Yarrowia lipolytica: one gene and its partners. The protein of the gene in region 4 purifies or fractionates together with the protein of the main gene of each other region. This does not show direct contact. Links are inferred from orthologs where the notes say so. Each region holds a gene or a part of one and is shown on either strand. Other genes may lie near its edges. The genes, in order: YALI1_A06128g, YALI1_C29810g, YALI1_F39001g and YALI1_F24173g.

The links.
Region 1: the proteins of YALI1_F24173g (region 4) and YALI1_A06128g purify together in Saccharomyces cerevisiae (affinity purification with mass spectrometry, with the first as the bait; 3 studies listed by BioGRID). This does not show direct contact. The link is inferred for Yarrowia lipolytica from reciprocal best matches to the Saccharomyces cerevisiae genes SPB4 and RSA4.
Region 2: the proteins of YALI1_F24173g (region 4) and YALI1_C29810g purify together in Saccharomyces cerevisiae (affinity purification with mass spectrometry, with the first as the bait; 4 studies listed by BioGRID). This does not show direct contact. The link is inferred for Yarrowia lipolytica from reciprocal best matches to the Saccharomyces cerevisiae genes SPB4 and RPL3.
Region 3: the proteins of YALI1_F24173g (region 4) and YALI1_F39001g purify together in Saccharomyces cerevisiae (affinity purification with mass spectrometry, with the first as the bait; 3 studies listed by BioGRID). This does not show direct contact. The link is inferred for Yarrowia lipolytica from reciprocal best matches to the Saccharomyces cerevisiae genes SPB4 and MRT4.

The regions. Positions count from the first base shown.
Region 1 is NC_090770.1:609,939-617,536, forward strand, and holds YALI1_A06128g (uncharacterized protein), read left to right. Parts: upstream 1-2,954; coding exon 2,955-4,499; downstream 4,500-7,598. Other genes in the region: YALI1_A06099g (uncharacterized protein), read right to left, coding at 1-61; YALI1_A06102g (uncharacterized protein), read right to left, coding at 140-302, 347-468; YALI1_A06104g (uncharacterized protein), read left to right, coding at 535-615, 670-825; YALI1_A06116g (uncharacterized protein), read left to right, coding at 1,662-2,132; YALI1_A06149g (uncharacterized protein), read left to right, coding at 5,019-5,582; YALI1_A06169g (uncharacterized protein), read right to left, coding at 5,924-7,033; YALI1_A06174g (uncharacterized protein), read right to left, coding at 7,333-7,496, 7,542-7,598. UniProt on the Saccharomyces cerevisiae protein: Involved in ribosome biogenesis. Required for processing and efficient intra-nuclear transport of pre-60S ribosomal subunits.
Region 2 is NC_090772.1:2,977,693-2,985,248, forward strand, and holds YALI1_C29810g (60S ribosomal protein uL3), read left to right. Parts: upstream 1-3,378; coding exon 3,379-4,542; downstream 4,543-7,556. Other genes in the region: YALI1_C29837g (uncharacterized protein), read left to right, coding at 6,048-6,518. UniProt on the Saccharomyces cerevisiae protein: Component of the ribosome, a large ribonucleoprotein complex responsible for the synthesis of proteins in the cell.
Region 3 is NC_090775.1:3,896,892-3,903,833, forward strand, and holds YALI1_F39001g (mRNA turnover protein MRT4), read left to right. Parts: upstream 1-3,209; coding exon 3,210-3,911; downstream 3,912-6,942. Other genes in the region: YALI1_F38954g (uncharacterized protein), read left to right, coding at 1-991; YALI1_F38986g (uncharacterized protein), read left to right, coding at 1,773-2,426; YALI1_F38998g (uncharacterized protein), read right to left, coding at 2,617-3,003; YALI1_F39009g (uncharacterized protein), read left to right, coding at 4,042-4,551; YALI1_F39022g (uncharacterized protein), read right to left, coding at 5,013-5,396; YALI1_F39041g (uncharacterized protein), read right to left, coding at 6,000-6,942. UniProt on the Saccharomyces cerevisiae protein: Component of the ribosome assembly machinery. Nuclear paralog of the ribosomal protein P0, it binds pre-60S subunits at an early stage of assembly in the nucleolus, and is replaced by P0 in cytoplasmic pre-60S subunits and mature 80S ribosomes.
Region 4 is NC_090775.1:2,415,582-2,423,644, forward strand, and holds YALI1_F24173g (uncharacterized protein), read left to right. Parts: upstream 1-1,730; coding exon 1,731-3,611; downstream 3,612-8,063. Other genes in the region: YALI1_F24151g (uncharacterized protein), read left to right, coding at 1-158; YALI1_F24171g (uncharacterized protein), read right to left, coding at 258-1,589; YALI1_F24197g (uncharacterized protein), read right to left, coding at 3,961-4,194, 4,275-4,346; YALI1_F24228g (uncharacterized protein), read left to right, coding at 7,239-8,024. UniProt on the Saccharomyces cerevisiae protein: ATP-binding RNA helicase involved in the biogenesis of 60S ribosomal subunits. Binds 90S pre-ribosomal particles and dissociates from pre-60S ribosomal particles after processing of 27SB pre-rRNA.

The DNA of each region.
Region 1 (7,598 bases), on a different chromosome or scaffold from region 4:
TGGCCGGGACTGCCGCCAGAGCCGATGAAATGAGGGTCGTCACTAACAGGGAGAGTTTCATGGCAGGTTGATGAAGGAGAGTGTGCTTTTCCTGGGCGCTTCGGCCTGTATAAAGAGTGTACACGGGGCGTGCAACAAGTCATGATTGCTCTTCGGAAACGGAAAGTGTATTCCCAAACGGGAATTTTGGATATCCTACAACAGGGCGAAAAAAGGAGGAAAAGTGCATGGAAACACGAAAAATCAGATCCAGTCGGCGGTGAGAATTGATTGCACCTGAAAGATTTCCTGTGGCCCCAAAACTGGTCGTATTCAGCCTTGCGCGGACCAACATGGATAATGCTACTCATGCATATCAAAAGGCGGATGCAGATCAGTGTAGAGAAACGTGGGCCTTTGGGGACTTGACCAGGTTGCAGGTATATTTACGCCGTTCTTGAGTCCGGGCGAGCAGTCGGGATAGTTCATTTTTGCGGTTTATTGACCCCTGGAACGTGTCCAAATCTCGTATATCTGTCCGACCCCAAAACGCGCATGTCCCAAAACAGACACGGCTTCCAAATTGGGACTAATGAACTTTCAAGGCAGTGTTTCACGTTGCGTCATAAATGGTGGGTAAATGATGGGCGGGATGAGAGATGGGATCAGTCATTTTGATCAAGGCGGTAGCAAGACTTGCTCCTGTTTTTTATTGTCATTGGAGTAGCCGTTCTACAAGGTATTCGTGCTTGTAAAAGTACAGTGGTTCCCACGCGTACTATGTTCGGTGTGCTAGTCGAGGTTCACAACGAGAGACTCATGGCTTGGAGAAGGAGCAAATTCTGAGGCACAAGTACTTGTACTCGTAAAAGACAACCAGTTTGGGTCACGTGAATAGCAGCTCGAATAGATGCCTTCAGCTCGACATTCCCAGCCCTCTTTGGTCGGCATGATTGAGCTGGCTAAATCCACTGTGTATGGCAAGAGTTGAGAGGTCCAGAATGAAGAGAAAGAAAACGCACAAGTCGACGCACAAGTCGACGCACAAGTCGACGCACAAGTCGACGCACAAGTCGACGCACAAGTCGACGCACAAGTCGACGCACAAGTCGACAGCATTCTGAATTCATTCAATGTTAGAGATTGCACGCTGAATCGTACTGTACTGTACTTGTACAAGTACTAGTAGGCAATTTCGCTTCTCCTTCCTGCTTGTCTCCATCGGTGTGCAGTATGTACTGATAAGAGCTTTCTCAAACAGCTGTTGGAAGCCCGTGAGGCTGACGCGGCTTCTCCTTCTCTTTCAGGAATGTGTGAGCCAGGTCATGTTGAGTCCTTCAAACACGGCAGTTGTCCTCCTATCCCCTGAGATTTTCTGGAGCGGGAAAGCCTTCGGGTCATACAACTGACAGTCTGGCAGCTGTTTGATCATCAGAGCGATCCTAACAACTAAAGTTGTGGTAGTTTAGTACTTGTGTTGTACTTGCACTTGTACTTGCACTTGTACTGGTACTTCGCTAGCATCAATCTGCCCAGAGGCACAGTCTTGTGCTCTACTGTGCTCTGCCCTACTCGTAGTTTTCATGAGACTACAGTATTGCCTATCTCCTCCGTCCATGTGACCGCTCCCTCATTCCAGTATATAAACAAAAGTCTGTCCACCTTCTACTCTACCACACAAAATGAAAGATACCAAGCCCGTGAACAACGAAAATTACGACCCGAACGGCGATGAATCGAACCACAACGATACCCCAACGATTCGTCACCGAAAAACCCCGCTCAAGGAAGACAGCTGGCCCCTCTCAGGATCCGCCCAAGGAAGACAGAAGCCCACTGCTCTCAAGGCTTCCAAACCGCCTTCAAGTACAGACAGAAAGATACCCTCCCCTACCGACGAAGAGATCGCCGAGGCCTGGGCTGCTCATCCGGGCATTCCCCCCGCCGAAGTCAGTATCAAGATCATGCAATACGACGATTCGGAGCCATCTGAAATCTGCGAGGAAGACTTTTCTCTGGATTCACAGTGGCTGTCTATGGAGATTGATCGAATCATGAGAGAGCAGACCGATGATGACATTCCCACTTGTAGCTTTCAGAAAAACACAAACTTGGGTGATGCCTATTCTGCCGATACCAGTCTGTTGTTCTGACTCCAGTCGTGGCCTTGAGATGGACATGTCCAACATCAGCAAAGAGCTTGCCAGACTCAAGACAGAGGAGAACAGGGACAAGGAGAAAAAGTCATTCAGCAGTGAGGGCTCTTTGGAACTGAGTCTCTTGACATCCTTGTGTACTTCCACCCCATACAAGACTAGACCCTAGAGGACAGTCAGGAATTGGGCATGAGCATGAGGAATGAGATGGCTATATAATGGAGATAATAAGGATACTTAGCTTGTTGAAGCATGTAGAACGTGACAAATATTGGAGCAGTGGTAATAGGAATGGAGAGCCATCTTTCACGATATGGTCTAGAGAGGTAGAGCGTCTCCAGAACTCCTATAACCACTTGGAATGAAGAAATTGAATGGTAAAAAGAACGAAAACGCCATAACTGGACATTTGAAGACCTCCCCAAACGGTTTGACACAAAATCTCCCGGACTAAGGCCTTTTTGAGAGTCACAGAAACCCCCACCATCATCAACGTGATATCAAACAAGGTTTGTGCAGTTACCATGGAAACGGCAATTAATATGTGGAGGGAGTGTAGGAGGGAGGTGATCTCAATTCCAGGATATGGACTCAATTTGATGAGGGAAAAACGGAAATACAATAATTTAAGTTGGAAAAACCATGATATCCACTCATTTTTCGCCTTATTACAATTAAATGGCGATTTACAGACGTCCCCACAACCACTCCTCCATCTCCAACAACTCGTCTGCATGAAACCTTAACCGTAAACAATTTTTTGACAAGATTATTTTGCATAGGCCAGAAGCCTTACTACACCACACAACACCCACAAAAATGGCCACCTTGCTGCCTCCTCCCTCGAAAAAACAAAAGCGACTCGCACAGGAGCCCAAGGATCTAGATCTGATCCCCGAGGACCTGCCCAATGTGCTGGTTCGATTCCAGGCGTCGGACACTGGCGAAAACACTGGTGGATCGGTGCGAGTTCCTGGAGCCGCCACCGAAAAGCAGCTGGAGATGCTTCTGAACCAGCTCCAGGAGACCAACGATGACCCCACGCCTTACACTTTCTCTGTGATCAAGGGAGAAGGCGACGAACAGACGCTGATTGACATTACCGACAACATTTGGGCATCGATTCTCAAACCCGGACACAAGAGTACAGAAGACCAGCTGACGATTGTGTACACCCCACGTGCTGTTTTCAAAGTCAAGAACATCACCCGATCGACCGCCGCCATTCCTGGTCACGGCAGCACTATTCTGACCACCCAGTTTGCACCCCACACTTCGTCTCGAATGGTTTCGGGCTCAGGCGACTTCACTGCACGAATCTGGGACTGCGACACTCAGACCCCCATGCACACTCTCAAGGGCCACTCTAACTGGGTTTTGTGCGTGGCCTGGTCTCCCGATGGTAAGATGATCGCTACTGGATCCATGGATAACACCATTTGCATCTGGGACGCTGTAAAGGGCACCCAGATTGGAAAGCCCCTCAAGGGACACACCAAGTGGATCACAGGCATGTCGTGGGAGCCTCTGCACAAGGTGAAGGAGGGTCACGTGCCCCGACTGGCCTCGTCATCAAAGGATGGCACTGTACGAATCTGGGACATTGGAGCCGGCACCTACCTGCGAACCATGGCCGGTCATAGAAGCGCCGTCACCTGCGTCAAGTGGGGAGGAATCGGTTTCCTCTATTCTGCTTCTCATGACAAGACCGTGAAGGTGTGGGATCCCGAATCTGGCCGTCTCCAGCACAACCTGACGGCCCATGGTCACTGGGTCAACCACATTGCGCTGTCGACCGACTACGCCCTTCGAACCGGAGGCTTTGACCACGACACCACACGAAAAGACTTCAAGGCCAGCGACACTGAGCTGCGAACCAAGGCGCTCGAGAAGTTCAACAAACTGGCCAACACCTCTGGACGCATCTCCGAGCGAATGGTGACCGCCTCCGACGACTTCACCATGTTCCTGTGGGAGCCCGAAAAGAGCACAAAGCCTCTTTGCCGAATGACCGGCCATCAGAAGGCCGTTAACCACGTCACATTTTCTCCTGACGGCCGATATCTGGCTTCTGCCTCGTTCGATAACTCCATCAAGCTGTGGGACGGAAGAGACGGCAAGTTTGTCACCACGTTTAGAGGACATGTGGCCTCCGTGTACCAGTGCGCCTGGTCGTCCGACTGCAGACTCATGGTCTCGTGCTCTAAGGACACCACTCTCAAGGTGTGGGATGTGCGAACTAAGAAGTTGTTGTCGGATCTGCCTGGCCACGCTGACGAGGTGTTTGCTGTCGACTGGTCCGTCGACGGAAACAAGGTGGCTTCTGGTGGAAAGGACAAGATGATTAGATTGTGGTCTCATTGATCTATATTTATATGCATTGTAATAGACGGTAGAATGGTTTCGTACACATCCATGTGAAGTGGACATGGGTGGTAGAGAGCGTGATGAAGAGCAGTATCGAGGGCTGTAAGGGAAGAGTAGACGACCTGAAGATACTGCAAAGGTGTCTCAGGAAGATATGGATCCAGGCTAGCTTGAACACCAGCAGTAGGAATGGAAGAATGGAAGAATGGAAGAATGGGAGAATGGGAGAATGACATTATCATACTGAATGGGCCTGCTTCCTAGTTGAGTAGGAATAATCAAACAGAAAAAAGACTTTAGCTGGATGGTCTCAATGATACTGCGTACAGTAGTTTTTCTCTCTTCAGCCTGGTAGGTCATCCATATCCATCATCCCCCTTTTCTCTTGTTTGGTCGCACGCCCAAATCGAACTCACGACCGCCAAATCACCATCCCCCAAAGTCTAAATGGTGATGTGAAATTTTCAGTTTTGAGGGAGAGATCAGGACACAACCTCCAACACAACCCGCTGAAACATGTTCCGAACGACATCAGCCCGAATCGAGGCCGCGTGTCGGCCGCTGGCACAGACACAGATGCGATTTAAGTCGCAACTGCACCGGCTCAAGCACCCCCAGCACATTGCCCAGCTGGTCCAGAAGCGAAAGATCACCGCTCTTGATCCCTTCTCCAAGCAGGTTCTGGAGCGAAACAAGGATGCAGTTGCCAATGCGTTCCCCGACGCCGCTTCTTTCGACGTGGCTGCTCTCGCGCCCCAGCGTCTGGCTCTAAAGTCCGAGGGAGGAGCCGCCGTGGCTCCCAAGACCAACAAGTCCGGCTACGGCTTTGGTACCGACGGATGGTACCACGTTGGCCGAACCGCTCTCAACCACATTGCCGTCCACTCGTGGAAGAACTCCACCAAGGTCAAGACGGAGATCTCCAAGATCACCGGAAGCGCCGTGCTTCTGAAACGAGACCTGTGCAAGGCTCTCGACCTGCACAAGTCGGACGTGGTTATCGCACCCAGCGGTCGAAAGATCTACGTTCGAGGCAACATGGTCCCCGAGGTTCGAACCTGGCTCGAGGCCAAGTTCTAGCATGTACATATTATCTAAAATTGTTTTATTGGACTGAGGAGAGAGATGAAGGTGTAGCGTGAGAAACGGTTGGACAAGCACAAGTGGAAGTGTCAGTGTTGTTATCATCAGTGTGCACACAACTATACTTATCACGAGGGTGTACAGTAGTTGGGGTTTCATCCATCTGAGCAATAGATTGAGAGGGATATTCACCTGTCAGCTACTGTACATACTGTACAAGTACAAGTTGACAGACGACTGACCATAATCAGTATCCAAGGTTGAGTATGTGAACGAAACGCCGTTATGTACTTGTACTTGCTGATACCATGATAGTCATTTTATGATTATTTACAGAGTTACCTGTTCAAAAACCAATTAGGAATGTTTTCAAATAGATTCTTAGCAGTGACACCTTGCCTTGCAAGCCGATCTGCCTGCTTGTTTCCTTCACTAGAACCATGGGCCTCTACCTTTTTCAAACCAATGCAATTGGTGCTTTCAGCCTTCAATGTCAGGATACGCTTGATCACGTCCTGGTTAGCCACTGGTTCCCCGCCCCGGTTCCGCCAGCCGTTTCGTTCCCACGCAATGTGCCACTTGGTGAGACAGTCGATGGCATAGCTTGAGTCGGTGTAAATCTCGTAAAGTCGGCCATCTGAGAGCTTAGATGCGCAAATGCAATACGCGTGAAGAATTGCCGTTAGCTCAGCTCTCTGGTTGGTCTGAGGCGACCCATAAACACGCCCGGAGAGGTTTTCCTTATGGTTCTCTCCGAGATAGAGTCCAAACCCAGCAACAGCGTCTTTCTGTCCGTTCCTAGAGCACGCGCCGTCAGTGAAAATCTGATTGATAATGTCTCCATCTGAGTTGGAATAGTGTAGACCTCGTTGTTCTGGAGGAAAGACGAGAGCATAGTCAGTTTCTTCTTCCACATACCCAATAGCTTCTTCGAGGCTCAGAAATGACTCAATGGGTAGAAATTTCTGAGCAGCACTTCTCATGGCCTCTCGTTCCTGGTCGAAGATGAGGTTTTCGCAAACAAAGAACATCTGGCCGCCGTTTTTCTGGGAATTAGCAGCCTGGATCTTCTTCTGGGCCACCCGTAAGTCCAGCTCTGCCTCTTGCAACTGGTTCTGGGCCGCTTCCAAGTCTCTCTGGGCCGCTTCCAAGTCTCTCTGGGTCACTTCCAAGTTCTTCAAGGCGGCTTCCAAGGCGTCAGTTTTCACAGCGACATTGATTTTGAACAGGTGGATATCAGCCGTGGTGTCCTGTACAAGTTGAACTAGCATCCGAGTCGAAAGTCCAGCATCGCCTATCCAGGACATGTACTCCTGCGCCTTGTCGTAGTCATCGAAGCCCTTCCATTCTGCCCCTGGAAACCTTTCCGTCTGTTTGTCGCACTCAGCAAAGGAGTTGTAAATGCCGGGCTTGCGTCCAGCTTTCACAGCATAGTACTTTTTGGCCATTGCGAGAGAGCGTGTGTGATACGGTGCGCAAATGTTGTCTTGCGAATCTCGTCCCGTTACTGTCGCCGGTCACCCAGTGTTTCTCTAGGCGCCCACCGTCAGTAAAATTTCACACCGCAAAATAAATTCGTGAAGCTTGAAACATGCAGTGTGCGCGAAACTCCAACATGACTTAATCTCTTCATCACAACTCTTCCACAAGTGGTGAGAAGATACCTAGGTGACGACTTCTGCTCTACAAGTAGATGACGAAGGTTCATTCTGTTGCTTCAGATCAACTTCGCCATGAGACTGTGCAACTACTTGTAGCGAGGTTTGCAGCAACTGAAGATGTTCTCATCTAGCATCTTGCTGGGGACCCCGATGGCCATCTGATACGATCGTTTCTTCGACAATGACACTGGGAGAAGTCTTCTAACTGTCCCTTGTTTCAACTCAGATCTGAAATGACGTTGTCTCAACACTGTGCCAAAACAGCCATCTCAGCAAAACAGCTCCCTTTCCTCACACTGGCCAAGTTTTTTTTTGAAAATAATGGTGCTGGGATTCCGTGTTAATACCCAGA
Region 2 (7,556 bases), on a different chromosome or scaffold from region 4:
TAACCGACCTTGTGGGACCCCAATTCCTGTCGGACTTTTTGCAATCGATAGCCCGTTGTCAGAAGAGTCGATTTCCTGCCTCTCAGACCAATCCGCGTGCTACAACACCTCCTAGTCCCTAACCCCGAAAAAGCCTCACTGACGTCACCTGCATGACTGGACCTAAGCACGCAGCCCAGAAGCGCACCATTAGGTGCGGTCACGTGCCTCTATCACCACCGAAAAAACAATGGCAGGGCTGATGGACTGATAGCAGAGAGAGGCAGGACCAATTAGCCGTTTGGTAGCACAAAGAGCTCTTTTTTCCGGCCCTCTGCCCCCGACTGGCCGGCGACACTAAAACACGCAAACATAAAAAGACACTATACAGTAGCACCAACCATCGTATTTGCAGCCGGCTAGCTTCTGGCACGGGAAAATGTCTCATCAACTGTATTGGATACTAACCACGGATTGAGTGAAGTCTAAGTAAAGTGCGAGGCGGAATCCAACGTCCGCTTTGGGCTCGACAGAGTCGACAGAAGCAGTTACCCGAACCCCATGGTTAATATCCTGTGCAGAAATACGACAACTTTGCCGAGAGGGTATCCGAGACTGTTTGAGGGAAATGAATGGGATAAACTGGAGCGGTTTTACAACCGCAGGCGTCTGTTTCTAACGTGCCACCCATTTCTCTGTTTTTGTGCAAGTCTCCACCACCATCCAGCTACTCCACAAGGTTGGCTTGCTACTAGCAAAGATTGAGAATAGGAATGCTAATCCCCGAGGTATATCCCGAAGAAGCGGGTCAGTTGACCGAGCAACGAGTGGTCGAGTGAGTTTTCCAACTGATGAAAAACATGCACAAGCTATAGATGTCATATTGTAGTGATGTCATGATACTGGTCACCACTGCTCGTCCCAGCACCGACAGAGAAAAGTGTACGCCACTAGTCTACACCGCACCATGATGGGTACACGATTAGTTGGCAGCCTCATGGGTCACATGTCCCTCGGATCATCAACGTTCCTTCTCCCGAAATATCAATGACATTGCTCAATCGGGAAACGCTGTACAGGTACATCCAAGTACGTTAAGCATATTACAAGTACCGTTGATTTGAATCGTGTGGCTTTAGAGTGATTTACGATGAGGGTGGTTGTCAAGCGCTAGACATTATCAGGGGTTGCTACAGTATGAGCAGGGTAGGTAGAGCTGGTTTGCAACCTGACGTTCACATCTCTTCAGCTCCTATTGTACCGTATGTTTTGAATGTACATGAGTCAAGGGTCTGTATGACCACAACCACGCAACACGGCCAACACAACCACCATCAGATTAATCTCAAGTTACTGTTAGATTAATACTGCATAAACCGTCTGTTAGCTCAGGAACACTTCTCAGTCTATGATGTCACCATGTTGCGAAGAGTCAGTCGAGGTTACAGATCTAGGTTTTTTTATTTTTTCTTTCGACAGTCAATTGAACTCGGATAAATCAAATAAAATACAGGGACGCTACAAGTAGTACTTGTACGGAGCTAGAACTTGCGAAAGATCCTATTTGTACTTGTACAATTTCCCACACGATTCACCTGTCTTTGCTCTGTCTCTATGACAGCTAAATCAGGGTGATATGTGAGAATACTGGTACATACTGTACCTGGGCTACAATTATCTTACATCAACATCAATATTACTTGTACACATTCACCAATCCGTAAAATCAACGATTATGACTTTATAAGACCGTCTCTCTCCTTCCTGACACCCGCTTGAGTCTGTCCTTAGTCAAGACAAACATTAGTTGGACTTCTGTTAAGATAAATGACAACTAGCTGTTCAACATCAGTCCTTCAGTGATGGTGGAGAGATGGGAAGTTCGCCAAGTTGTAGTACTTGATGGTCATTTCAGTACGGAATACAAAAAAACTCCATAAAATCTGACATTTCCTCTGATATCCCAATTTTTGAAAATTTTCTTCCACTCGAAATACTTAGTGTTTAGTTGAAGGAAGCCGGCCCAGAGAGTCCGATCAGGATGTGAATAATGACGCCAACAACTTGAATTGCAGAAACGAGCTCATAGTCCTATTTCACAAGACTCTCGTCACTTCTCCTACACGATTTTTGTGGAAGATTGGACCATGATATCAGAACGACATCTGCAACTTACAGCTAGAGGATTCTGTTAAAGATCAGTGAGGACACACTGAAGTCGGAGACGGCAGGCAGTTTGTCAACACTTGGTGTTAGGATACACCACGGAGATAATGCTATGTACTGTACTTGTACTTGTACACAGAGATATATGGAGCAAGTTTTCTGGTACGAGTCGGTAGATCGACATGTTCATCAATATCAACGACGCTATAGTTCTATAGTACAATATGTACTTTTGACCCTTCCTACTCAGACTCAGAACCCTAGGATACTTGCAGTATTGTAGCTGACAGATGTTCTGTAGGGGCAATGATCTGTATATGCAGCTATTCCTGATTTGCAAGAGATATCCTCCTCCCTGTACTTGTATATTGTTCTTCACTTTTGTCATGTACTGGTTGTGAGCTAAGTTGCATTGCATGAAAAAATTGTACATGAAAAATACGGAAAAACAGGGGAAAAAATCAGAACATGGGCAACTAAGGTAAGGAGAGGTTTAGAAGAGCCCTTCTCTGCAATTTCAGACAATGTAAATGCATTGTATTTCTGTCATAATTCTAGGGATTGTTTTTAGCCACAATTCTCATAATTATATCTCTGTATCTCTGAGTATTTTTTCCCGTATTTTCCCTAATAATTGCTGCAAAATCGATATTAAATTGCCCCCATTCCAGAGCCAAAAGTTTATAGTGCCATACAACTGAGGGTGCTATCAAGAAGACTTAAACGCCAGCTGAATGATGTTTATCAAGCTGCAAGTCCTTTGGAACAGCAACCGTTCTGTTATTTTTATCCGGTTTTTCAAAATATATGCTGTTTCGGGCCCGTTTTCATTCTTGCTGATTTTCCATGAATTTTTCCTTATTAATATTGCGAAAATCTGTCGTAAATCGAACTCCCAACTGGACTACATAAATAATAACCTTAAATTCAACCCAAATTGGAGATCTATTCACACCCTCACTGAAACTTGCTGAATATTATCCAAAATTGCTAGTTATTTTTACAGTAGCTTCATCCTGTGGTCATAAAATATTCCTCTAACTTTCACCGTCTCAGCATAACTATTGCTCCTGTTTGAGTCACCCAACTAGTCAGTCCCCATTTTAGCTTTGATCACATGACACATCCCAATCGGTAAAAACAGTCACACGCTGGTCTCGAACTCTAAATTTTGCAGTAGATTTCCACCGGTCAAAAACTCTGCACACATCTTTCGTTCCTCACTATCTCAAAATGTCCCACCGAAAGTACGAACAGCCCCGACACGGTCACCTGGGTTTCCTCCCCCGAAAGCGATGCACCAAGTCTCGAGGAAAGGCCAAGTCTTTCCCCAAGGATGACAAGTCCAAGCCTGTTGCTCTGACCGCCTTCCTTGGTTACAAGGCCGGTATGACCACCATTGTCCGAGACCTCGACCGACGAGGCTCCAAGATGGACAAGCGAGAGATTGTCGAGGCTGCCACCGTCGTTGACACTCCCCCCATGGTTGTTGTCGGTGTTGTTGGTTACGTTGCCACTCCCCGAGGTCTTCGATCCCTGACCACCGTCTGGGCCGAGCACCTGTCCGAGGAGGTCCGACGACGATTCTACAAGAACTGGTACAAGTCCAAGAAGACTGCCTTCACCAAGTACGCTAAGCAGTACGAGGGTGACGCCGCCCAGGTCCAGAAGGAGCTCGAGCGAATCAAGAAGTACTGCACCGTTGTGCGAGTTCTTGCTCACACCCAGCCCAAGCTGACTCCTCTTAAGCAGAAGAAGGCTCACCTTGCTGAGATCCAGATCAACGGTGGCTCCGTTGCCGACAAGGTCGAGTGGGCCCAGCAGCACTTTGAGAAGACCGTCACCATCGACACTGTTTTCGAGCAGGACGAGATGATTGACGCCATTGCCATCACCAAGGGTAAGGGATACGAGGGTACCACCCACCGATGGGGAACCAAGAAGCTGCCCCGAAAGACCCACCGAGGTCTGCGAAAGGTCGCCTGTATTGGTGCCTGGCACCCTGCCAACGTCCAGTACACCGTGGCTCGATCCGGTCAGGACGGTTACCACCACCGAACCTCCGCCAACCACAAGGTTTACCGAGTTGGCAAGGGCGGTGACGAGTCCAACGGCTCCACCGAGTTCGACCGAACCCCCAAGACCATCACCCCCATGGGTGGTTTCGTCCGATACGGTGAGGTCAACAACGACTTCCTCATCCTCAAGGGTTCCATCCCCGGTGTCAAGAAGCGAGTCATCACTCTGCGAAAGTCCATGTGGCTGCACACCTCTCGACGAGACCTCGAGAAGACCCAGCTCAAGTGGATCGACACTGCCTCCAAGTTCGGAAAGGGCCGATTCCAGACCCCTGCCGAGAAGACTGCTTTCATGGGCACTCTCAAGAAGGACCTTTAAGCGGTTTCTCTTGTTGGAAATTTAAAAAATTAAAATGCACAATAGCAATAACCGAGTGTGTAGAGTACCTGCAACTGAGTGCAAAAGTACTTGTAGTACTTGTAGTCCTAGCGCTGTATACTGTAAGTAGATTGTCGTTTGACTAACTGTAAGATAGTTACTTTCCTTACACTAACTTGATTCGAAGACGCGTAGAGGGAGATCGATCATGACTATGAGCGAGCCCAACTGACAACATTCATATGAAGGGAAACAGTGAAGGCATAAGATGGAGCAACAATGCAGACGAGTATGGTTGCAGATTGCACTCTCGCAAATGCATGATACATGGTTGTACTTCTGTTTCTGGAACGAATTGCTTCCCATCATTGGCCTGGTGTGAGACAGGTGTGCCGACAGATGTGCCGACAGATGTGCCGTCAGATGATTTGAAGTGCTTACTGAGCAAGGTGAGATTGTCGCAGACTCTCCGCAGACAAGGAGACAGTACTAACAGGAACATTACAGGTTCATTCCATTGAAAGAGCTCCTTCTATTAACCGAGAGTGTAGCAGAAGTCTCCGAACGGTCCGAGTCCAGGTCGTGAGATGACATGGTCAAGGGGAAAGGCAGACCCGGACGTTGAGTAGTTGCCGGTTCCAGTCCCAGACCTTCCAGTCAATTGATGATGGTAACATACCTGCCCAGGTTGAGGTTGGAGTTGGTAACAGATGCAGTTCCCTCGTTCAGGATGTACGAAATCTCGATTATCTGACTGAGACTGGTGTACCACATATGGTAACATGGAAATCAAGATAGACCGGGGGTTGTTACAAATACAACAATCAGTATAAGACTTATCAAGGAAGCTCATACCAAGACTCAACTTCCAGACGACCCGATATTTGAACTATAGCAGACCAAGAATCCACTTCGAAGCTGCGGAAGACGACAAGATTTCCAACTGTCCTGGTTTTCTTGATGGAATCGTGACATGTAGGGCTTTTCGCACTGGAATTAATCCCAGACATGGAAAGGATACTCTATAGAAGAGTCTCTACAAGCATTTTGAGAACTCAGCACCAATCTGCAGATGAAAATACCATCTTATTCAGCAACCTTTCGCCATTTTTGCCATTTTTGGGGTCTCCACGTGACATTTTCGTCCCGCCTTATCCGTTCAACACCGCAAACCGTCAGTTGCGGCCATATCCTGGTGAAAATACGGCTTCCCGTCCGATCAGCCATAGTCAAGCACCAGAGAGCCTAGTTAGTATTGTAGTGGGAGACCATACGAGAATCCTGGGTGCTGCAATTTCTTTTCCCTCGAGTTTTCACTTATTTTTTTTTTTCCATTTTTTCTTTTTTTTTCTTTTTTTCTTTTTTTTTTCTTTTTTTCTTTTTTTCCTTTTTTTCCATGTTGCGTCTCCAACCTGTAAGCGGACTACGACTACAAGGCAAACTTTTGAGTCAAAGAGCCGGGAAACTCCATCAACAAGGTGTTTTCTGCTGTAGGAAGGCTTTTCATGCCACTCCCAGATCTTTCATCAGTTCATCATCATGTCTACTTGTACTGTGCATCTGATCATCTACAACAGAGTAGCTTGGTATGGGTACCGAAAGGCTGTAAGAAAGGTGCGTACAGTACTCTAAGAATAGAGGGATTACAGTGGACTACCGATCCTTTTACTTTGACTTGCCCAACTGTGGCTCTTTCTATTACTACTGGTAGTCGTAGCTCACTCGGTTGTCTCACATCGGTTGACTGGTGCTGTCCTGAGGTACATACCATCCTCACAGTAACAGAGAAAGAGCGGCGGAATGAACAGTGGCATTTCGGAAATGTCTGGAATGTTCCGACCGTTCTGTCGACCCCCATGCCTCAGCTTTCGCTCTCATGTGTTCTCCACGTTCCTCGTATAGGACGATCCGGGCCAGCAGCAACCGGATCACACGACATTTCACCCGGCCTCGGCATGTTTGCTTTTGACAGTTGATCGTGTGACAGACATGCAGCAGGGTCAGCACTTGGGACTGGGTTCGAGTGTGTACGATACGGGGGTAAGTACCAGGTACCTTTACAAGTGCCGGTAGTAACATGACCTTACCGAAACAGCGGCAGTCCAGATCCCTCCATGGACACCCGTGACACGTGATTATGAACCCTACGGTCTTGCTGCTGATATAACCAGCTGATTAGTGCTGGCGATCATGATGCAATAGATGTGGTATCAACACCAATAACTCCATTCCTTGCCTCACTTGAGATGTTGTCTTCAACTGCAGTTTCACTGTCAGACTCCACTGTCGATGATGCCACTGGTGTACAAGTAGTTACGTGGTCCAAGACGCATCTCTGGTTACAACATGTCGAACACCTTCGATCTACAAATATACTCTTCACAACTCCCTTACACGACACCTCATTTGTTTTCTGACGTTGTGGGGAAGATGCGTCTGTTCGGGTACTTTTGACTTTGGCTGTTTTCTTGTCCCCGTACCGGATTTTCGGCTACTGGTGTGCTTTGTGTCAGGTGTCACCTGGGCGTCATCCTGGGATTCAGTGTGCCCGTTAAGGTTTGTATTAAGATTCGGTCTCCACATGGACCCGAGCCGTTGCATCCCCCTGCATACCTGCAAGTATGCTGTTCCGGTTTAGCTGGTACAAGGACTGTTGATGGATTACATAATTGGTATAAATGAGCAATTTAACATACGTCCAGCTCATAAGATGTGATATTCGGCGTTAGCGTACCACCCAGGAGTCTTAATCTGTGAAATCCCTCTTCCTGATCGCGTTTCGGCGAAAACAGCACCTACAAGACAATGGCGGTCTGGCGTCGAACCCCCGACATTCCTACGGGCTTAAATCGAGCCCCAGACACTCTCAAGTCGAGCTAAAGCCCAAATAAACCATCCCCCGTTTGCCTCCCTCAATCACGTGACAGATGACTCGTTCATGAGTCACCGTGAAAAAGTGGATAGAGTTAAAGCAACCAACAGTGAGGCATTTGTCACCCACTATCCTCCTGTGA
Region 3 (6,942 bases), about 1.5 Mb from region 4:
GATGGCATCTTCTATTTCCGACGCTCTTTCCTCATTCACTAACTCAATCATCAACCCAATCATTAATCCCATCTTGGAGGCAGTCACTGAGATTCTACATGCATCTGTCACTCTGCTGTCATACCACGATGATCAGATTGACGTATGGATTAACTCAAAGTCCACCGATCCCACTCATTCTCGACTGTCTAAGGACCATTTTGCAGCATACCTAAACGAGCCTGCTGGCCTCGTGGCTGCAGAGGTGGTCAAATACGTCGTTCCCTTTGTGGTAGAAGCCTGGGAGGATCCCTCTATTGATCCTCAGACTGTTGTGGATGAGGCACTCCAAACATTCCATCATCCTGCTCTTGCACACACCAAGCTGCATCGAATCATGCGGGCCGAGGTGGATCGATGGATTCAGACCTTCTCTGACGAGGAGCGAGAGCATATTCTGGAGGGCCTTACCTCTAGAGGCGTTCTTCATGGCCACAATAATGCTGAGCACTTGGATGTGAACAACGTTACTTACGAGGACCCTTTTGATCATACTGGTAGTGAAGAGAAGGCCTCAACCTTCCTTGATTACATTGATTACTTTGGCTTCTTCAACCAGCAGGGTTCCGGCTCTGGCTCTGGCTCTGGCTCAGGCAGCATGAAGCGGGAACACAAGGATAAAGCCGAGGATGTGGCCAACGACATGGATGCTGAGGGAGCAGCTGACTCGGAAAAGCATCATCAAGACCATGCTGACACGGCCCAGAAGAAGGCTAAGGACAATGCAAAGAAAGGCGAAGCCAAGCATAACGAGAAGGCCAAGGCCAAGGCCAAGGCCAAGGCCAAGCCTAAGCCCAAGTCCAAGAAGTCTAAGAGTCAAAAGACGCATTTCCACGACCATGCTCACCATGTCGAGGACCATCCTGACATGGCCAAGCAGCAGGCCGCTGAGCAGGCTGCCTCTGCTCATGACGAGGAGGGTTCAGCTAGACGAAAACCCCAACAACCATAGACTAGATAAGAGTACCTACATAAGCGTTGTGCTTGACATAATTCCCTCTCTCCAGTGTCAATAAAATATTTAATAGACGACGACTCCAGTGTATACACATCCGATACAAACAAGCATACATATATACATATTGCCATGAACATGGGTATCTCGGAAAGAAAGCGTGACCGGGTTTAGCTCTATAGGATTTACTCTTATCAGCTCATAAGACGGTTGTGTCTCTCCACTCATATCAAGCCATGTTAACACACGGCCTCGAAACGCTTATCCTTATCGACGATTAGAGCTCGTCCAAGGGAGGGAAAAATAGCCGTGAGGGGCAAACCGATCTATTCAGGTTGTTGGTAACTGCCGCCTTTTCTGCACCTGTTTCTCATTCTAGTCTCGCACTAAAATCAACACCCGCTACTGGCAGCTCCAAGCGGGGGGCATGGGTCAAGTATTGGTATTAGCTGCGATAGTGTATGATAAGCCAATTACGACCACACTCTAAAGGGTGGGAGAACTGCACGCGACTCTCTCAAAGAGGGGAATTAGAATGGACTCCTCGAAGCCTTATTCCAACCCGTTCAATAATCACCCAAGCACGGGCATGTATGTTTATGTGTTTTCAGTGTTTCGGAACATCCACGGCAGTGCCGAGATAAGACTTGAGGTATGCAGGAGTGGGTCGAGATGGGTCAAATTTTTATGCGTGTCAATTGAACCCTAATATATATATTTTGGTTCCAGAAAAGCGACCCTACTTTCCGTTTCTACCTTCCGTCACTACACACACACAATGTCTTCCTCGCCCATTCCCTCCAACGTCAACGTGCTTCCACAGACCCGGCAGCTTCTTGGTCTCTACTCCATCATCCGGGACAAGAACACCTCTCGGTCGGACTTCATCTTCTACTCCGACCGAATCATCCGTCTGCTTGTCGAGGAGGGTCTCAACCAGCTGCCCGTGACCGATAAGCTCGTTAAGACGCCAACCGGCGCTGAGTTCAAGGGTCTTGCATTTGAGGGAAAGATTTGCGGAGTCTCCATTATGCGAGCTGGCGAGTCCATGGAGCAGGGCCTTCGAGACTGCTGCCGGTCCGTGCGAATCGGTAAGATTCTCATTCAGCGAGACGAGGAGACCGCCCAGCCCTCTCTATTCTACGACAAGCTGCCCGAGGACATCTCTAGCCGATTCGTCTTCCTCCTGGATCCCATGCTTGCCACTGGAGGTTCTGCCATGATGGCCGTCGAGGTTCTCATTGCCCGAGGCGTCCCCCAGGAGCGAATTCTCTTCCTTAACCTCATTGCATCTCCCGAGGGTATTGCTGCTTTCGCTGAGAAGTTCCCCAACGTCCAGATCATCACTGGTGTCATTGACGACGGTCTTGACGAGAACAAGTGGATCCAGCCCGGTCTCGGAGACTTTGGCGACCGATACTACTGCATTTAAATCCGGTCTCCCTGGAAACAACTCACATACCCTTCAGTATATAAAAACATAATCGTATATGATTGCATACTTGTAATAAATGTTAGCTATGGATCGTTTGTGTGTGTGTGTGTGTGTGTGTGTGTGTGTGTGTGGAGATGATGGATGAGGTGCAATCTAAACTGGTTCCGGGGGCTCGATGCTGGATGAATCAACTCATTGTAGAATTGCCTGGTCCTTCATTCATACCCTCCTCATCATTTGCCACTTCTATCTGTCTTTGTTGTGAGGTTGGATCCAGTGCTTGTATGTTTGTCTCTGCTTTTGCTTGAGCTTCCGCGTGAGCTTCTGCCTGTGACTCTGCTCCCTGTAATACCAGATTCTCCTTGTAGATGCGCAATTCCTCCTTTCGAATGTCGGATTGACGGAAAAACTCGATCTGCTCGTCCGTCAGAGTCCGTTCAACTCCATCAGGATAGAAGCCCAGGGAGGGCTCAGTGTCCTCGTCTTGACCTGCCTCATCAAACTTGATTGTGCCCTGAAACTCGCCTAGATGTTTCTTATGGAACTCCAGCAGATCCTGGGTCGAAATAGACATGTTTTTGGGTGGCGAATGGTACAATAATTGAGTGGCCACTTACACAGACTGCATATTGGGTGTTTTGATTTTGGATGTGGTTTCGATAGAGGAGTATCAAAGCTAATTTTTCTGCCCTCATGCAAAGCCAAAAAAATATTTGCAGCTAGTGCAGATATTTTGGCAGGACTTCCCATCCATCTTCTAACCACACAGCATACATCACAATGCCCAAGTCAAAGAGAAACAAGGTCATCGCTCTCACCAAGGTCGAGAAGAAGACCCGGGAGGACAAGGAGGTGATCGTCGACGAGATCCACAACTACCTCGACGAACACAAGTACTGCTTTGTCTTCTCAGTAGAGGGCATGCGAAACACCTTTTTCAAGGATCTCAGAGCGGACTGGAAGGGCAGCAGAATATTCTTTGGCCGAACCAAGATCATGGCCAAGGCTCTCGGCAAGTCTGAGGAGGATGAGTACAAGGCTGGACTCGGCGCACTGTCTGAGTACATGTCTGGAGATGTTGGTCTTCTGCTGACCGACGAGGAGCCCCAGGTCGTCAAGGATTACTTTGAGTCTTTCGTTCGGGAGGACTATGCACGAGCCGGCCAGGTCTCTACCGTTACTTTCACAATCCCCGCCGGCGTTGTCCATACCACCGGAGGTAAGATCCCCGCTGAGGACGATGTTCCCGTTGTGCATTCTATGGAGCCCACTCTCCGATCTCTGGGTATGCCCACTCAGCTCAAGGCCGGAAAGGTGGAGCTGTTCGCCCCCTACGAGGTCTGCAAGACTGGCCAGACTCTGGATTCTCGACAGACCCGTTTGCTCAAGCACTTTGGCGTCACCAGCTCTTTCTTCAAGGTCCACACTGTGGCCTACTACGACTCTGAGAAGGAGGAGGTTAAGCCCTTCATTTCCGCTTAGATGTCTCGGAACATATTAATCAATCATTAGACACGTTTCAATAGAATAACTATGGGAGGAAAATATTGTAGTTTTACGCTGTATTTCCTTGTACAGTAATTTGTGCATATCTAATTTGTAGTCATTTTCCATGTGGGTTAGCTCAAATTTATTCGACACCTTTTATGCAAGGCGCGGTGCTGTCCATTATCAACCTCAAAAACTTTCGACCATGAGCAAGAAATCGTTGGCCGCCGTTGGAACGCCACTGGATGAGCTGAAGGAGAACCAGACCATCGCCAAGGTCGCCCAGGCCAAGGGCAGCAACATATACGAGGTGACTCTGCCTCAAGACTTCTACAAGAGCCACGGGTTCAAGAGCCCAGAGGTCCAGGTTGAGATGCCACCCAAGTTCAGACAGACCGTGTGGGTCAAGCGGGGTGGCTTTGTTGTTGTTGACGTGACTCCCGATGACAAGATTGCCGGTGATATCATCGAGATCGTGGTGGACGATCGCACATGGCGAAAAATGCCCTACTGGCCCGCCGAGTTCAAGAAGGTCGGTGGATGGCAGCAGGATTCCGACGAGGAGGAGGCCGATCCCTTTGCTCTTCCTGACGACGAGTCTGATGAGGAGGAATACGAGGAGGAGCAGAGTTAGGGGGTGAAGGGGTTCTAAGCGGTGTATATATACTGGAGATGATATACAGTTGGACACCTTCTCTCTGTCACACGACCTGACGCAACAGCTAGACCCATGTCAGAGTCGTTCAAAAACTACAGCATGTAGCTAATCTTTAATACATTCATATAATAAAGCACACTTGCAATTGTACTGTAATGCTTTAAAGTACAGGTACCAACAGCGATAAGCGTGAACAGAAATAAAGAGTAAGCCAACTGCTCTATGTTCTGATACACGCTAACAGTACTTCACGCTACACGACATGGGCACGACTACGAGGTCCGTAACTTGGTATACAAAGACAGGCGCAGATACAATAAATGAGCGGCTACGCGTTACACACGGCTGTCCTCCGCCCGACACCCATCAGGCCCTCTTTTCAACAATATATTCATGCAGCACAATAAATACGATACTTCTATACGTGGCATGCGGGGTTACCACAAGCTCCAGCCGTCGGGGCCTCGTTCCAGCTCCTTGATTTCGGAAATGTCTCCATTGGTGAGGTGTCCGTAGATGTGCGCAAACTTTTCGTTTCGCGATCGCACAAAGTCCCACTGTAGTCGACATCCGGGCTTGCAACCCACGGCACCCTCGGTTAATGGGGCGCCGGGAGTGTCGGGAATGTCAATCGCCAGCAGATAAACGCGGTCGTGCTTGTTGAAGTACTTGTTGAGCGTCTCCAGCAGCTGAGCCTTGGTGCTAAGGTGGATGAAGCCGTCCTGGATATCAAGGGGCACGCCAGGCAGCACGGTTTCGGGGTTGACGGTGCCGTTCTGAACAGCCTCGGCCGGCAAGGATTCCAGAATTTTGTAGATCATGGCTGCGGTCGCTTGAGATGGGTGGTTTTTTAAAAAGTCGGTCTTTAGAAAAAGGCAGACTAATAATCTCCTTGGTGATGTGTAGTGAGGTGGGTGGAGTGAATATCCAAATTAGACTTAGACGGATTATAGTGCGTGGTGCACACACCCGCTGGAATGTGCCTGCTGTACCTTTCGGAAAATGAAAATCGCAAAGTTAATCAGCTCGCTTGTGTAACCGAGCTGTAACTGTATGGACTGAAGTGGGGCGGGTGGCACCAGCTGACACGAGACTCTGACACAGCGAACATTTTTAGGACTACCGACTCGAGACCTTATCAGGAGACCCCAAGACTCTATCCTGCCAACAAGTCTGTTTCAGAGTTCTCAAATAGCTTTCTCCTCTTTGCTGGCTTGCTGCACGGAATAAAATAACGCCCATCACGCAGCATACATATATGGTGTCATTTCCTGTGAGAAGTGCGGTACAAGACAGGAACCAGGCATAGCAGCCAATTTTTTTTATTGCAACACTTGCTTCTATTCAATAATGTACTGTTTATATTATTACCTAGGAGTGGCGTCGATTCCCGCCTCTCCTTGATTTACCCCCACCACATGCAATTAATCCAAAATGTAGTTACCCAACTTGTCCATCTTGAGGTTCTCAATGCCTCGCTCAGCAATGGCCTTCTCGAGGGGATCCTCCTCTTCTTCCTCCTCTTCTTCCTCCTCCTCCTCTTCTTCTTCCTCGTCTTCCTCGTCGTCTTCCTCCTCCTCAATGTCGTGCTCCTCCTGATCAGCATCCTCGATCATCTCAGCGTCCTCTGCAAGCTGCTCGTTCTCCTCATCGTCCTCTCGGATCTGGTCGTCGACGTCGTTCTCGTCCACCTCCAGACTCTGGGCCAGAGCGGCCTCCAGGTCCTTGGACTGCTTCTTGGAGAAGCCAGATGCACCCACCAGCTTGTCGATAGCCTCACCCTTTCGCTTCACGTCGCGGTCGAAATCGGGCCAGGTCTTGGACACGTAGCCCAACTTCTTTCGGAAAAAGAGCTTGATACACTCCACGTCTCGCTCAAAGTACCGTTTGGCGTCCACGTGGTCGATGGACACACACTGAGGGAAATCAATGACGACAATCTCGGACTTGGGGTCCTTTCGATCAAAGTTTTCTCTGATCATAATGTTGAACTCGTTGAAGTCGCAATGGATTAGTCCGTGCTGTGCCAGGCGCACAATGAAGTCCATCAGGGTCTGGTAGAGTCGAGCAGGATCATCGTGCTCCTGCAGTTGACGCATGGGGAAACCGTCAATCAGAGACATGACAATCTGATGTCGCGACTGGTCGATGGGAGTGGGCACCTCGAAGCCCTCGTCGTGCAGAGCCTTCATGAAGGCAAACTCCTTCTGAGCTGCCAGACGAGACAGGTACATCCACGATGCACTGGATCTGTTCTTGAGGTAATCTCGGTTGTTCTTGACGGTTCGGAACGAGATTCGACCCAGTCTGTGGATCTTGAGAACTCGAGAAGTTCCCTTGGCGTCACTGACAGCCACAATATCAGAC
Region 4 (8,063 bases):
ACCATGAGGACTCTGTGATTGGAGCCCAAGGCATCTTGAAGCTGGCCCGGAGTCTAGCTGACAGCAAAGACCTCGACGCACAAATCATGGGTATCATGGACTCGTGGCAGGAGCAGCATCCCAAGCTGCCTCTGATGCATGCTGTTGGCTACTTTTAGACAGGACCAGAAGGACGTGTATCTCACTATTGTATAAATTATATATTTAAAAATGCTTCATTATTAGATTATGTTGATGGTGACGATGATGGATGGGGTTTATTGTGTAGCCTCCTTTCGCTTTCTCCACTTTTCATTAGTCACATCGGGAGTGTCAAGCATCTTTCGCTTACTGATGGGAACGTAGGGGATCTTCCGAGAGAAGCTTCCAGAGCCGTTGACCACCGCCACTCTGTCGCTGTCGCCGTCTTCAGCACGGGGGAAAGTCCGTTCGCTTCCAGTTCGCTCAGCAATGTGCTTCATCATAGCTAGACTGAGGGTGCTCTGGAGCATGACGTCGTGCCAGTGCTTGAAATTGGAGTTTTCCATTCGCTCCTGGGGCATGGCGTTGGGAGTGATCCATTCGATGGGCTCCTTGAATGTACAGTCATAAAGAACCAGAGGAACATCGTGAGCCATGTCGTACACGGGGCGTCCAGGATACTTTTCGGGGTTCAGCAGATCGGTTATCACGCTTGGTTTCTCGAGTTTCTGGCCCACCAGGAAGAGAATAGCCATCATGCATCGAACCTGGTGCCACAGGAAGGCTCGTCCCTTGAGGTTGAAGTAGTAGATGTCGTCCGAGAGCTGCTCGATCTCGGCCTCTAACATGACTCGGTTGTGGTGTGCCAACTGCTTGGATCCATCCACCTTGCAGAAGTTTCTGTAGTCGTGTTCACCCAGGTACAGTTTGGCAGCCTGTCTCATTAGATCAATGTCCAGATCGCCCTTGTGGAAAAAGTATCTATAGTGCCGGTATTCACAAGAGAATCTGGAGTCGAATCCCTCGGGCAGTCTGAGAGCCACAGAGTAGATTCGGATATCTGGTGGCAGCAGCTGGTTTAGAATGTGAATGTAGTTGAGCTCCTTGTTGTCGTTAGCGGCGTCCTGCTGCTCCTCGGGAGACAGCTTGGATCGCACCTTAAGAGCAATGACCTGAGAGAAGGCGGACACGCCTCGGTCTGTCCTTCCGCATCTGCTAAAGTCGAGATCGAATAGACTGGCCGACTCGGGGATCAGTCTGCACCGTTGCATGGCAGACAGAATGGTTCCTTCGATAGTGGGCAGAGGGGTGTCTTCATGCTGGACAGCCAAACCTCCATAATTCCAGCCGAGATAGGAAAAGCGGATCGCGATTTTTCGAACGGGGTGCCGACTAATGTCGTAGCTCTCGTTTCGCTTGGCCTTGGAGGCCTTGACCGGCGGGTCTGGCACGGCTCCCTGGGCGGTACTAGGGTCCTTGCCCTCCAGCTCGAAAATGCGATTGATGAGGTCCGCTCGAGTCCATTTCTGATACTCGGCCATTCTGGAAACTTGGTGTGGCGTGAACTTTAGCTGTCGTGTCGCTTTCGGAGCGGAAATCAGCCGTTTTAGTGCAGCTATCAGAGCCATGACAAGATTCGAGCTGGGAATTTTTCATCACTAAGTTGGGAGTGTCGGCCTGCATGTAAGCTGCACAGAGTACGAGGCTAATGGAAATAATTTGGCGGTGAGAAAAAAAAGACCAAGCACACTCACACAACACAAAACATAATGTCTACCGACTGGAAAGACTTGCCCGTTGCGCCATGGCTGATCGACACCATGGAGCAGTTCGGATTCACCGATATGACCCCTGTCCAAGCTTCAGTCATCCCCATGTTTGCAGGAAACAAGGACGTGATTGTCGAGGCAGTCACTGGCTCAGGAAAGACCATTGCCTTCCTAGTTCCTCTGATCCAGCGAATGCTGAATCTGCTGAAGGAAGGACCGGCTGTTTCTGGCCGAGTCTACTCTGTGGTCGTCTCTCCTACCCGGGAACTTGCCCGACAGACATATGAAGTGCTGCAGTCCATTCTGGAGATGGGATGTCCTGAAGCCGATGCTAGCGACAAAATCACCCTGGAGAAGAAGAAGAAGGGAAAGGCCGCCCCCACCATGCCCAAGAAGATCCGAGGCCAGCTGATCATGGGTGGAGATCTTCCATCTCATATGGATCTGAAGAACTTCCTTAGAGACAAGCCTCAGATCATTGTTGCCACTCCTGGCCGATTGCTCGAGCTGCTGCGTGCTCCCCAAATCAAGACATCCGCATTTGACTCTCTGGTCCTGGACGAGGCCGACCGGCTTCTCGACCTCGGCTTTGGACGAGACATTACATCCATCATCAACATTCTCCCCAAACAGCGAAGAACAGGACTTTTCTCTGCTACAATCACAGACGCCATCCAGAACCTGGTCAAAATTGGTCTACGAAATCCCGTCAAGATTGTCGTCAAGGTTGGCGGTAAGAAGGAACAGAAGACCCCGCTTTCGCTGGGTCTCTCTTACGTTGTTCTGGAGCCTCGCGAGAAGCTGGCCTACGCTCTCAATTTGCTCAGTATCTACCCCTACAGAAAGGCCATTGTTTACTTGCCCACATGTGCAGCTGTGACATACTACCAGCAAATGTTTTCACATCTCAACGAGGGCAGGGAAGAACCCTATGAGATCTACGGTCTTCATGGAAAGCTGCCATCATCTACTCGAATCAAGATTCTCAACAAGTACCAAAAGACTGGAGCGCAAGCCATCTTGATGACTACAGATATCGCTGCCAGAGGTCTTGATATTCCCGAGGTTGATCTTGTTGTCCAGCTTGATCCTCCTTCTGATGCTGACACCTTCCAGCATCGATGTGGACGAGCCGGTCGAGCTGGAAGACAGGGCCAGGCTATTGTACTTTTGCATAAGGGACGAGAGGAGGAATACGTGGACCTCATGAGAGTCCGAAAGGTGAAGCTGCGACCATACACCGGACCTGGGTCGGAGCTGGAAGGAGAGAAACTGGATCAGGAGGCTACGGAACTGTACACCAAGCTGAGAAAGTGGGTGCTCGAAGACAGACAACGCCATGACCAGGCTCTTCTTTCGTTTGTGTCCTTTGTCCGGTTCTACTCCAAGCATGTTGCCCAGTCCATTTTCCGAATCCAGTCACTGGATCTGCCTGGGCTGGCAGCCTCTTACGGCCTGTTGCGTCTGCCTAAGATGCCTGAGCTGCGAACCAAGGACAACGAGAGACCTGAAAACACATGGCTGGGCGAGGTGATTGACTTCGACACATACTCGTACAAGAACCCCGCCAAGGAGGAGGCCCGACTCAAGGAGCTGGAGGCACACAAGGAAGCCATGAAGAACAAGGTCAAGATCCACAAGACCAAGAACGACGTCCAGAAGGCCAACCGAGCCTGGTCCTCCACGCTTCAGAAGAAGGAGGAGAAGTCTGAGCGTCACCAGAAGAAGCAGACACGTATCAACGAGAAAATCAAGCGGGACTTTGAGGAGGCCAAAGATCTCAAGCAGGAGGAGTCCAAGGAGGTTGTTAACGACTGGAAGGACATGGTCAAGAAGAGCAAGAAGCGCAAGGTCGATCTGCCTACCTTTGACGACCTGTAAGGTATATAGACAATTATTTATGCTACGTTGTACCGTATGTACGGGTATATCCTGCCTGAAAGAACCGAGGCAAACCTTTTGATAATATCAAACTACAGCACAAGTACACCACCAGAACGGGTAGAACATTCCGCAAGTACACTTGTACATCGTGATAGTCAAATGTGCAGCACTTCTGTACCATTCTAAAGTATCGAATACTTCACAGATTCATCTACAATTACAGTAACACACTACGGGTCAAAAATTATGGGGATGGGACTGAATAGTCCAATCGTATTAGCCCCGGAGGTTCGGCGTTCCAGCCTACGTCCTCCAAAATACTATGTAATCCGACAGGCAACGGCTCTTATAATCCCTCTGTGAGATTTCCACGGGTCTTGCTCCAAGGGTCATCGGCACTAACTTTTGCTCTGGCTCTTTCGGCGGCCTCGGTTGCGGTTCCATCTTCACCATGATCCAAAGGATCAGGTTGCACTGCGCGTATCCAACTTAATCCATCAACTTTCCGTCCGGTCCACTCCATACTTCGAGAACACGGGCTCGAGACGAGACACGAGCTCGTCAAAGTCAAGAACACGAGCTTGATATGAGATCACGGGCTCATACTGTAGAAGGCGAGAACACGGGCTCGCGATGAGAACACGAGCTCATCTAGCGGACAAATTCGAGAACACGAGCTCGAAGTGAGAACACGAGCTCACTAGGGACGATGCGAGAACACGGGCTCGCCATGAGAACACGGGCTCATAGGAAAGAGTCGAGATCACGGGCTCGAATATGAGAACACGGGCTCATCACAGGAATCCAAAGTCGAGAACACGGGCTCGATATGAGAACACGGGCTCATACTGGAATTATTGCGAGACACGGGCTCTGAAGACGAGGCACGGGCTCAATCTTCTCTCATGGTGCGTCGAGACACGAGCTCGAGGCGGGGTCGGTCGGTGGCGCCTTGGCTCTGTAGCTCACGGGGCTGCAGGCTTTTATGGCTCTTTGCTGTATAGTCAATTGCGAAATCTTCTGCACTAGCGGCTGCTCAGCAGCTCTTTACCGTCTTGTTTCCGTAGTATTTCTGGGGCTGGGGTGATTGAACTGTGATATTTTTCCGTTTTCTTTTTCCGTTTTCTTTTCCGTTTTCTTTTTCCGTTTTCCGTAGTATCCGTAATGGTTCCGTAATAATTCCGTAATGATGACGATCCGAATGATGCCGAAGTATCCACATGATGATAATGTTCCGATGAATCACAACCGGCATGGGGCCGGAGGGAGAAGATATCGCTCCATCATGCGATGAAGAGTTTCTGAAGAAGGAAGAGAGAAGTGGTTGATGACGACCCCTTATATACCTTTGGAGAGCAGCAACTCATGCACGAGGTTGTGGGGAACTGGCGCAACTGAAGGCTTATTGACGATAGAATTTGGGTCCCATATCACGTTGTGCTTTGACAAGTGGGCAGTGGTCCCATGACCCAGGCAGCAGCAGCAGGCGTAGCAAGCAATTACAGGCGGCAATCAAGGGGACTGGTGGATGGATATGTCGGCCGAAATGCCCAAAACCGTCGTCATTGGCACCCGATTTGCCCTCCATCACGCGCCATGAAAAGCTCTAAACTTGGGCTTAAATGGCTGGCTCGAGACCGAGATGATGGGGGACCAACATGTGACGTAACCCCAAACTAAGAAGCTAACCCGACGCATGGTTTGAGGGGTTGGGCGGCTATGACACGTTAGGCAGTATTGTAGCACATGGTGTGTTTATTGGTGAGAGATCGGCTGTTACAGGTGTAGTGGTCTGGATGGTTGTCTCGGCCAGCCATCTGATTATCCACTGATTATCCAGTCTCGTGCTTGATCGGTGGAGTTGCGCTTCAGGCTGATGTCGTAGCTACGAGTATGAGTATGAGTATGACTCTGAAGTGACAGTTCTATAACCTACGCACGTACTTGTTGTTAGCAAGTACGAGCACAGTATGTATTGGTAAATACACCCGTTACTCGCTCGTACTGAGTGTCTATTCTTAGACCGTCTCAGGTCTCGACATGACTCCACGGACTTGTGTCATAGTGCAGTGCAGACGTGCCGTGTGTCCGGAGAGGGACATTCTATACACGATGAGAATGTACTCGTACTCGTACTCATACACACATGTACTGTAGTTCCCTGATGAGACAATAGCCTGTACAGTACTTGACAATGTCGTCACCTCCAATGCTCACAATCACCTCAAATAACCACTACACTGTCAATATCCCTCTTGCAACGTCGTGGACAGTGCTCAAATCTCTCCAACATAATAAGCGCGGAGAGTGTCGATTATGCACGCCCCTGTGAGTCAGTCTATCATCTGCCCTCATCGGGTGATTGAGGTACTTGTAGGTGGGCCTGGGATATCTCTTGAAAATGTGATTTGGTGGCGAGTCGAAAATCAGCTTGTGACACGATATCGAACCGTTGTCCCCATTCTCCATTCTCCATTCTCCATTCTCCATTCTCCAATCAATCGCGACACTTCCGACCCCTTTGTTCTGCATCGTATCATTCCATGGTCGGTATTGGAAGGCTCGCTTCACACAACCGAATCTGTTGGGACCAAAGTGGAGGTCCGCACAAACAAGAGAAGACAAACAACTGACCAAGGCTACAGTACATACTGTACTTATTGTACGAGTAGGATCGGTTCCGCACCACACTAAAGAGCTGAAAAACGAAATTACGTGCCGTACTCATACCGACATATAGACACTCGTATCAGGTATGCCATTAATAAAGTCTCACGAGCACGCCATACTTGTCTACTACTTGTAGCTCTTTCCAGCTCCAGCTCGTACAAAAAACCCCCCCTTCCCACAACCCTCCCCCCAATCCTCTTCGACCCCTATTGCGAGATTACTTGTACTTAATGGAGAGGCAATTTCGGCATTGTGCCGTGTTTGTTTGGCGGGCTTGTTAACATGTCTTGTCTTGTTTTGTTTATCAGGGTTGCAACAGAGACGGGCCCGGGCTCTCATTGGTCCAAACGGCGCATGTCATACCGGCTCCGTTAGTTGAAGATTGTTGACGCAACTCTAATGTGTCAAAACAAACCACCGCTCCGTCTGTCTACAGGCACTAATCACACCCCGTTAGTTTAGGGGTCGCTTCATGATCCTACCAGGCCCCACAAAACACGAGCCCTACGCGCAGTGGCTTTGGTGGAGCAGGGTATAGCTTGAACAGTTCTACTGCTGGTGGGTGGTGCCGGTTGGGAGACGCGTTGATGGTTGGTGGGCCGTGAAAGATGCAGATAAACAGGTCTGTCGCGTGACCCACGGTAGGGTCTTGTATAGACAGTGGGGCCCGAAAAAAAACCACATGGGCACACTCGCGAAATACCGCCTGCCCTCTTGGTTCAATGTACCGTATCACCTGCCCTGGAAAGTGTTGGCCCAATCCCCCCCCTCCTCCCTCTCTCCCTTTCCAGCCTTCCCCATGCCCCCGAAACTTTAGTTTGAGCACGCATCCAACTAACTTTGCTTCACATTCTTCAGCATTCTTTAGCCCGTCAACTAGTCAAACTGTATCCCCCCTGTTGTTGTTGACCCAACTCTTCCACCTACGCGTCACTGCTTCGTCAACTCCACACCATGGCTAAATCAAAAATCTACTACACGCCCAGCGACATCACTAACACAAAAACCCTGCACGATAACGCCGCCACGGTGCAATTCCTCACCTCGGAGCTCACCGAGAGCGCAAAGGTTGCCGCTCTTGTGGCCACTGAGAGCTGGCAGCGACTGGTCGAATGTGTCGCCCACACCCGGGGCCTCGACAACAAGGAAACCAAGGCGTTTGTCGAAAAGTGGAGCCCCGACAACGTGGACATCACTCTCAGCGAGGAATTGTCCAACGGCAAGCGGTTCCGAGATGAGGTGGAGCTCACCCCCACCGGCCGTATCAAGAAGAAGCGTGTGGTGGACCCCAACATGCCCAAGAAGCCCATGACCGTCTTCCTGGCCTTCTCCACCAAAAAGCGGGCCGAGATTCGAGCCGCTCGACTGGCCCGAGGCGAGCCACCTCTCCAGAACTCGGAGATGGCCAACGAGGTGGCCGAACTCTGGGGAAAGCTGTCTGACGCTGAGAAGGAACCTTACCAGATTGAGTACCGGAAGAAGCTGATCGACTACCAGAGCCGAAAGAACAAGTACATTGAGAGTAAGGCTGTCAACGTGGCGGCCGCTGCCCTGGCCGAGGAGGCCGAGGAAGAGGCCGAGGAAGAGGCCGTTGAGGAAGCCGTTGAGGAGGAAGAGGAGGAGGAGGAAGATGAGGAGGAGGAGGAGGAAGAGGAGCCCGAACCCATCAAGTCTCCCAAGAAGAACAAGAAGTCCAAGGACAAGAAGAACAGACGCTCCTCCAAGTCTAGCAAGGAGTAGACTGGAGTCCGCACGAGGAATATGTAATATTAATGTATT